2 linked regions of the Oryctolagus cuniculus genome follow. The protein of the gene in region 1 binds, or shares a complex with, the protein of each later gene. Links are inferred from orthologs where the notes say so. Each region holds a gene or a part of one and is shown in the gene's direction. Other genes may lie near its edges.

What was found. Proteins that work in one complex are often made in the same cells at the same time.
Region 2: the proteins of AAK1 (region 1) and PDLIM5 are in contact, whole or in part, in a crystal structure (PDB 9F6S), measured with the Homo sapiens proteins. The link is inferred for Oryctolagus cuniculus from reciprocal best matches to the Homo sapiens genes AAK1 and PDLIM5. Residues at the interface, in NP_055726.4 of Homo sapiens: Asp956, Leu958, Ile959, Asp960, Leu961; in NP_006448.5 of Homo sapiens: Ala12, Pro13, Trp14, Gly15, Phe16, Arg17, Leu18, Phe24, Gln67, Ile70, Lys71.

What each region holds. Positions count from the first base shown.
Region 1 is NC_091433.1:133,152,239-133,155,884, forward strand, and holds part of AAK1 (AP2-associated protein kinase 1), read left to right. Parts: intron 1-1,420; coding exon 1,421-1,719; intron 1,720-3,646.
Region 2 is NC_091439.1:71,014,131-71,017,803, reverse strand, and holds the start of PDLIM5 (PDZ and LIM domain protein 5), read left to right. Parts: upstream 1-826; 5' UTR 827-980; exon of another isoform or gene 981-1,110; intron 1,111-1,687; exon of another isoform or gene 1,688-1,969; intron 1,970-3,673. UniProt on the Homo sapiens protein: May play an important role in the heart development by scaffolding PKC to the Z-disk region. May play a role in the regulation of cardiomyocyte expansion. Isoforms lacking the LIM domains may negatively modulate the scaffolding activity of isoform 1.

The sequences.
Region 1 (3,646 bases):
GATTAATTCACAATCTCCATCAGGAAGCTATAAAAATAGGCGAATTTACTCTGGCCTCAGGATCAGCCCTTAAGGCATCCGTATCTGGCTAAAAAGCCCATGAGAGTTTCTCAGGCAGGAAAGCCAAGACACTGTGGCAAAAATTGAACTAAATGAAAGATCTCTGTGAGTGAGATCCCAGTGGAAAGAACGGGCCATCAAAGAAGAAGGTACCTTTCTCTGAAGGGAGGAGAGAACTTCCACTCTGATTATGGCCTCGTCTAAATAAGGACGGAGTTTATGAACTCAAGAGGCTTCCATGGCCTTGGCAGCTCGTGACAAAAGCCTCGGGTGATTACTGACGTCATAAATAAGAGTGTCAGTTGTTAAACCAACAACAGGAGTCACTGTGTGCTTACTCCCCATGTAGCATCTCTGTCCTTAATGTGTTGTACTACGAGAATTAATGGTAAAACTAGTCTTTAAACAGTACTTTATACTTTGTGTTTCTGTGCGGGTACAAACTGTTGAAATCTTTACTTAGTATATACTAAGTTGATCTTCTGTATATAAAGATAATTAAAAATGAATCTTAATGAAGAATAGGATGGGAGAGGGAGTAGGAGATGGGATGGTTTGTGGGTGGGAGGGTGGTTATGGGGGGAAAAGCCACTATAATCCAAAGGTTGTACTTTCAAAATTTATATTTATTAAATAAAAGTTTTCTAAGAAAAAAAAGGTGAATTTGGTGGCCATCTACTTTTATAGTCAGGCATCCAGACTGGGGTTGTGTAAGCAACACTTAAAGCATCCGAGAATCTCATGCCTGTGGGTGCCAAGATTGTGTCTATGTGCAGTAGCATCAGAGGCCAGTAGAAAATGTATCAGAAGAACTAATAAAAAAAAAAAAAAAAAGAAAGAAAGAAAATGTATCAGAGTGGGGAATGTCCAGCACATAGGCCATATAAAGGCCATGAAATCGTGTGGTCTGGCCCTGCCAAGGCCACCACAGGCGAGACTTGAAATTCAATAAATGTATGGCAGACTAATTTTTAAGTTGATAATTTTATATGATCTGCAAATGATGTTATAAATATTCAAATGACCCTTGGCAGGAAAAGGGTTCCCCACCTCTGATGCAGACAGATACTCAGCGTGCTGAGCAATTGACTCAATGGGATGATGGATAACAGAGGACTTACTGATGGAGGTGTACTCATTTTGAGCCTTGTTACTGAACCTTGTTTTGAGGAAAAGAGTTTATCAAGAGGGTGGAAAGACATCCCAGGTGGGACAAAGCACGTGGAAAAGCAGTGAGGAGCTCCCGTGGATTTTGGGATATTTGCCCACTTAACCTCTTCTTTATTGTGTTGGCAAGAGAGAAAGCTGTTTGGATCTGGAAAAGTTTTAAGCCCTTACATGGAGTTTATTCTCTCTGCAGGATCCAGCAATCAGCCTGGCCTTTTGGCCAGTGTTCCCCAACCAAAAGCCCAACCCCAACCTAGCCAGCCTCTGCCACAGCCTCAGCCCAAACAGCCACAGGCTCCGCCTACCCCACAGCAGACGCCTTCCACTCAGGCCCAGGGTCTGCCCACTCAGGCCCAGGCTACTCCTCAGCACCAGCAGCAGCTCTTCCTCAAGCAGCAGCCAGCGCAGCAGCCAGCGCAGCAGCCAGCGCCACAACAGCCAGCGGGCACATTCTACCAGCAGCAGCAACAGCAGCAGGCCCAGACTCAGCAGGTGAGGTGGCCAGCGTGAGCCTTGCTGTGCAGAGCTGAGTCGTGACGGTGAACAGGCCCGCTAGGTACAAGGGTCTCCCTTGGGGAGACAGAGAGCTGTTAACCGTTCTACCATTGTTTCTTCATCACTCATTCCCACCCTTTCACCACCCTTCTCAGGCCATTAGCAATCTATCAGCTGATTGAGGAATCTTGCTGAAGGAGCTATTTTCTAAAGATTCTCTGTTTCCTTGTTTGTTTTTTTCCTAACCTAACTATACCACCATTACTATACTATATTGGGGGAATAAATAATAATAATTTCTTACTGTTGTCAAACATCCAGTGGTGTTTTATTTCTTTTTTTTTTTTTTTAAGATTTATTTATTTTATTTGAAAGGCAGAGTTACAGAGAGAGAGTGAGAGATAGACCTTTCATCTGCTAGTTCACTCCCCAAATGGCCACAATGGCTGGGGCTGGGCCGATCTGGAGCCAGGAGCTTCTTCCGGGTCTCCCATGTGGGTGCTGCTTTCCCATGCACATTAGCAAGGAGCTGGTTCAGAAGTGGAGCAGCTGGGATTCAAACCAGTGCCCATATAGGATGTCATCACTGCAGGCAGAGGCTTTACCTGCTAAGCCACAGTGTTTAACTATTTCTTATGTCTCGTAAATTAAGTTGGTTTGTTTGAATCAGGATCCAAAGTCCAGGTATTAATTTTAGTTGATTTATATTGTTTTGTTTTCCACTATTTTTTCTAGTTTTTCACAGTGGACAAATTCATTGTGTAATGATTGCTGTAGCTTTTTTTTTTTTTTTTTTTTTTTTTTTTTTTTTGGACAGGCAGAGTGGACAGTGAGAGAGAGAGAGAAAGGTCTTCCTTTTGCTGTTGGTTCACCCTCCAGTGGCTGCCGCGGCCGGCGCACCGCACTGATCCCATGGCAGGAGCCAGGTGCTTCTCCTGGTCTCCCATGAGGGTGCAGGGCCCAAGGACTTGGGCCATCCTCCACTGCACTCCCTGGCCACAGCAGAGAGCTGGCCTGGAAGAGGGGCAACTGGGACAGAATCCGGCGCCCCGACCGGGACTAGAATCCAGTGTGCCGGCGCCGCAAGGCAGAGGATTAGCCTGTTGAGCCACGGCGCCGGCAATTGCTGTAGCTTTTAAGTCCTCTTTCATACATAGGATTTCTCTCCCTCTTTTTTTTCTCTTTACAAATTATTTTTTTAGACACTGGATTATTTGTCCTGTAGGATTTTCCACATTCTAGATTTGGCTAATTGTATCTCTGTGGTATCATTTGATCTGTTCCTCCCTTCTCTGTGTAAACTGGTCATTTCTTGAGACTTGCACAATATTTTATTCTGTTTGATATTTCTTTGCTCTTCCTCTTCCTGTGGCATCGTATCAGGAGGACTGTAATATCTGATTGCCTCTCTTAAAAAGATCAATCCATGTGTTTGATCCATTTGTTTAATGTTCCCCATTATCTTAGAAGCCATTGGTGGTCATTTCTTAAGTCTCTTAATTCATTAGGAATGGCAAAATAATATTGCAGGACTTCTTCTTTGTTTAGGGGCTAGGATTTTTCTATGGGGAATTTTCGCATCAACTATTTAGTTACCCTGTGAGGAAGCTGTTTGAACAGAAAAGACAGGAAAAATACTTGAGTGTTTTCCTTTGTTTCCCAGTCTTCAGAATAATTCATTGTTTCCCAGTATTATCCAAAGATGAGCAATAAGCTTTTTGTCTTCTTTTGTTTAGTATATTTATGAATTTATGGATTTTAACATATTTGTTATCTATTAATACATTGAAGTTTTAAAAAACTTACTTGTGTTGGTCAACATTGTTGTCCCAATGTTGACCGGTGGAAGTCTCTTCAGAATGGCTATGGGTCCTTTGGATGTGGCTCCAGTGACCTCTAATGGTGTCCTTGCTACCTAGGATAA
Region 2 (3,673 bases), on another chromosome or scaffold:
CTTTCTCCCGTTCCCTTATCCTGGAAAATGCTGTGCGATGGCTCAGGTCGGAGTTCTGGGCCCAGCCCTGGCTATTGTGGGCATCTGGGAAGTGAACCAGTGGATGGGAGATCTCTCTGTTAGGAAAAAGAAGGAGGGGGGGAGGAAGGGAAGGTGGGAGGGAGGGAGAGGACGGAGGGAAGGAGGGGAAAGGAAGAAAGAAAGAATTGTTCTTTTCACATTTACAAGGCAATTCGCAGTGCAAAAGAATCTACAAGTTACTTTCCGGGTATTCCAAGTTCATTATCCGCATTTGCCTAGGAATAAATTCCTCGTCAAAATCGAGGAAACTTTCAGAAGGAGGAAAGCAGGTTATGGATCTGGATATAGAAAAACAAGTTCAAGATGAAGTGGTTGCAGCATTGTCGCGCGATGTTAGATTTCAGTGCTGCAGATTAGGGCTACCGATTTTCACCTTCCCGACAAGCAGCTTTCAGGGTCTGCTCTTCTCGGAGCCTACAACTTCTCTCAGAAGAATCCAGGCGGTAGCTGCTGAACTTGCATAGATAGGGATGTAGCCAAAGTCCTCTTCTATTTTTAGCCAGAGCAACTGTTGGCCAATACAACTTTCTGGGCAGAGAAGTGCACCCTCCTGCAAAACGGACACGCAGAAGGTTAGCCCTTTGCCAGGTCCCCTTTGAAATCCCCTCACACTACTCCCACCGAAACTCGATAGCGCAATTGTTTTCCGCAGCGGCTGCAGCCAGCCCCATCACGCGCGCGCCCCGGGCACCCCCTTCGCCTTCTGGGTCAGGGCTCGGAGCCCCACCGCGCTGCCCGGCTGGGGGCGTGGCCTGGCGCGAAGGGGCGTGCCCAGGGCCGGGGGCGGGGCTGCCGCGCCGGGAGGCGGAAGTTCTCGCGGGCCGCGGGGACGGCGCACGCACCGCCAGTCACTTGTCAGCGCTCGTCTGAGGCGGAGGCAGCGCCGCGCCGGACCCGAGGTGAGTGTCCGGCGGCTGCAGATGCGCGTCTCGGCTCTGTGGCAGAGAGGAGGGGAGAAGCTGGTCTCCTCGTGGGCCGGCTCGCTGAGGAGGAGGAAGGGGCGCACCTCGGGCCGGGGCGGCTCCTCAGGTGCTTTCTGGGCGCGGAGCGGCGGAGGTGGGAGAGCGGCCAGGGCGAGAGGAGCTCCCGGGAAGAGGCAGTGCGGGGGTGGGCGTGAGGCTGTAGGGCTAGCCCTGGCAGTTCGGGTCGGCCGGGAGGAGCGCCCTGGAGGCTGGGGGGTGGTGCGGGCGGGCTCCGGGGGGCTCCTGAGCCCCGCCGCGCCGACCTTCCCCTGCCGGCTGCCGGCGTGGCTGGGCGGCCCGCCTCGGGTCTCCCCACGACCTGCGCCAACCCCTTGGGGGAAGACGTGAGTTATTTTTGTGTGTGTGTGCGCTCAGGGTCCTGAGGATCCTTCATCCCCACCCCCCACCCCCAGTATTTACAGTTGTGTAACCTGTTCAGGGAAAACTTGTGCGCCCAGACATAAAGCTCGTTAAAAAAAAAAAAAAAAACAACTTGCCTAATTGTTGGGGCTTTTGCAAGGCGGTGCGTTTGACAATAAGTGGAAAAAGGAAGGGCGTATGGACTGGGCAGAACTTGGAAAGAAAATCCGTAGCCTGCGCTGGGCAGGGCAGGTCTAGGGTGTGATCGCCGGCTCCTATCCCAGGTCCGCCTCCCTGACCGCGAGGACGTCTGAACCCGCCTGCCACGGAAGCAGCGCGCCCGGGAGCCTTATTTGGCCAACAGGGCGAGGCGCGAACCTCGGCTGGAAACTGTCTCGTCGGCTACTTTTCGTCCTACGCCTGTGGCTTCTGTAGCTCTGCTCCATTATCCCTCTATTGGAGGGCAGGGGCCGGGGGAGGGAACCTCAAGATATTTCTTCCTAATTTCAGGCTCTACTTGTCACTTGGTGCAGATCATCGCAAGTTCTCCACCCTAAGAAGCTCGGGTACAAATGTGGCAATACCAAGTTTCCTAGTCCTAAAGTGAAGTTAGTGTGTAGACTTCACCCGAAAGGAATCCCCACGTTTTCTGTGTTTCAAAGCAGGTTGCTGTTTCCTGCTGACTCACTTATTTAGGAAGGATTTGGTCACTAATAGCTAGAGGGAGGAGACCCGGAAAAGACCACTACAACTATTGCCATGGCTTAGGGATCAGAAGGTCTTGAAGGCAAATGAATTGCAGGTGACGCTAGCAGGAGAGTCCAGCTTGGAGATGTCGCTGGCTACAAGTGCAAAGACTCTGGCCTCGTCCTGTGACTGTGACCTTGCAGGTCCTATAAATTCTGACAACAAGTGGGAGAGGTCAGGAAGGGAGTCCCCAAGTTAAGAGAAGTTGCATGTCGATGGCTTGATATATAAATTAAATAGATTTTCTTGTAGGGAAGAATGGGCTAGAGGAAGTTGAGCCTAAAGTTCACATACTTCCCCTGCTAGAAGTTAAAGATTAAAAAAAGGAGGGCAGGCAGCCTGCGAAAGTCAGTTGGCTTTACATGATTCTGATTTGTCACGTGTGCCAATAGCAAGATTTTCTCGACTACGCTACTAGTTTTAATGAAGATCGTCTTTTGTATTGCAGGAAAACACCACCTCCCCGCTATTAATTTTTCACCTACATGCAACAGTTTAACTTCTGGCGTGGCTTTGGGTCTTTTTAGTGCCTGTGTCTGCTACTTCAGTACTGAAGTAATGTGTTATTGCCTGCTAGTTTAATGTACTTCCACGCCATGGAAAAGCTCATTTAGTGCCTAAGTAGATACAGTGCAGATTTTTCCCTGATTTAATTTTTCTTTAAGATCCAGGCTTATTTGAAAGTTGGGTCTAATTTTCCCTTTCTGAGAAGAAGGAATCTGTTTGCTTTAAGTTTGAATAGCTGCATCTGTCACTCTGAATCTGGTGTGAAGGGATAGTAATTTTCAGTGTGTTAAAAAGTGGAAAAATATGTCAAGACAGGTAATATAAAGTGAATTTGGTTGAACAGCTCAGATTTTCCAAGGAAGTGTGTCTTAAATGGCTGCTTCCTAAAGTGTCTTTTAATAATTTTAAAATTATACACCTGTTAATATTTTTAATACTTTTAAAAGGAGAGACCTGTTATGTTTCTTAGTATTACATTAAAAAAAAAAAAAACTCCATTCCTCCCAATTTCTCCCATCCCTATAAAAACCAAAACACCCAATCAGACTTCGTTTTTTTTTTTTTAAAGTACAACCTTGAGAGTCATTAGGAGCACAAGCAAAAAAAAAAAAAAAAAGGAAAAAAAGAAAGCACTGAGGTGCTGATTCTTTTTTAAATCTCAGTTCAGTTTCATGTGTAAATGTTAACCCTGTGGTCCTATGGCATTCAGTCATAGTTGTATTCAGTGAGTGCTCACCCCTCCCTGTGAGAAATGTGTATGAAACGAAAAGCCGCTTCTGCCTAAATGTCACCATACTCAAGCATTTGTCATTGCCTATTTGAGGGAGAAGTGAATATTACTTTAAGTATAGAAGATACCATGTCCCTGGAAGTGGAAATACGAGTTGTAGTTCATGATTGGAGAAAAGAGTTTTGTGCACAGGAAAGCATCTTCTGTTTTAAACGATTTAGTGTTTGGAAAGCATGAATGGGAGCCTGCTGATTTGCAGCCCTGTCCATGTGTTAGAATAGCTTAG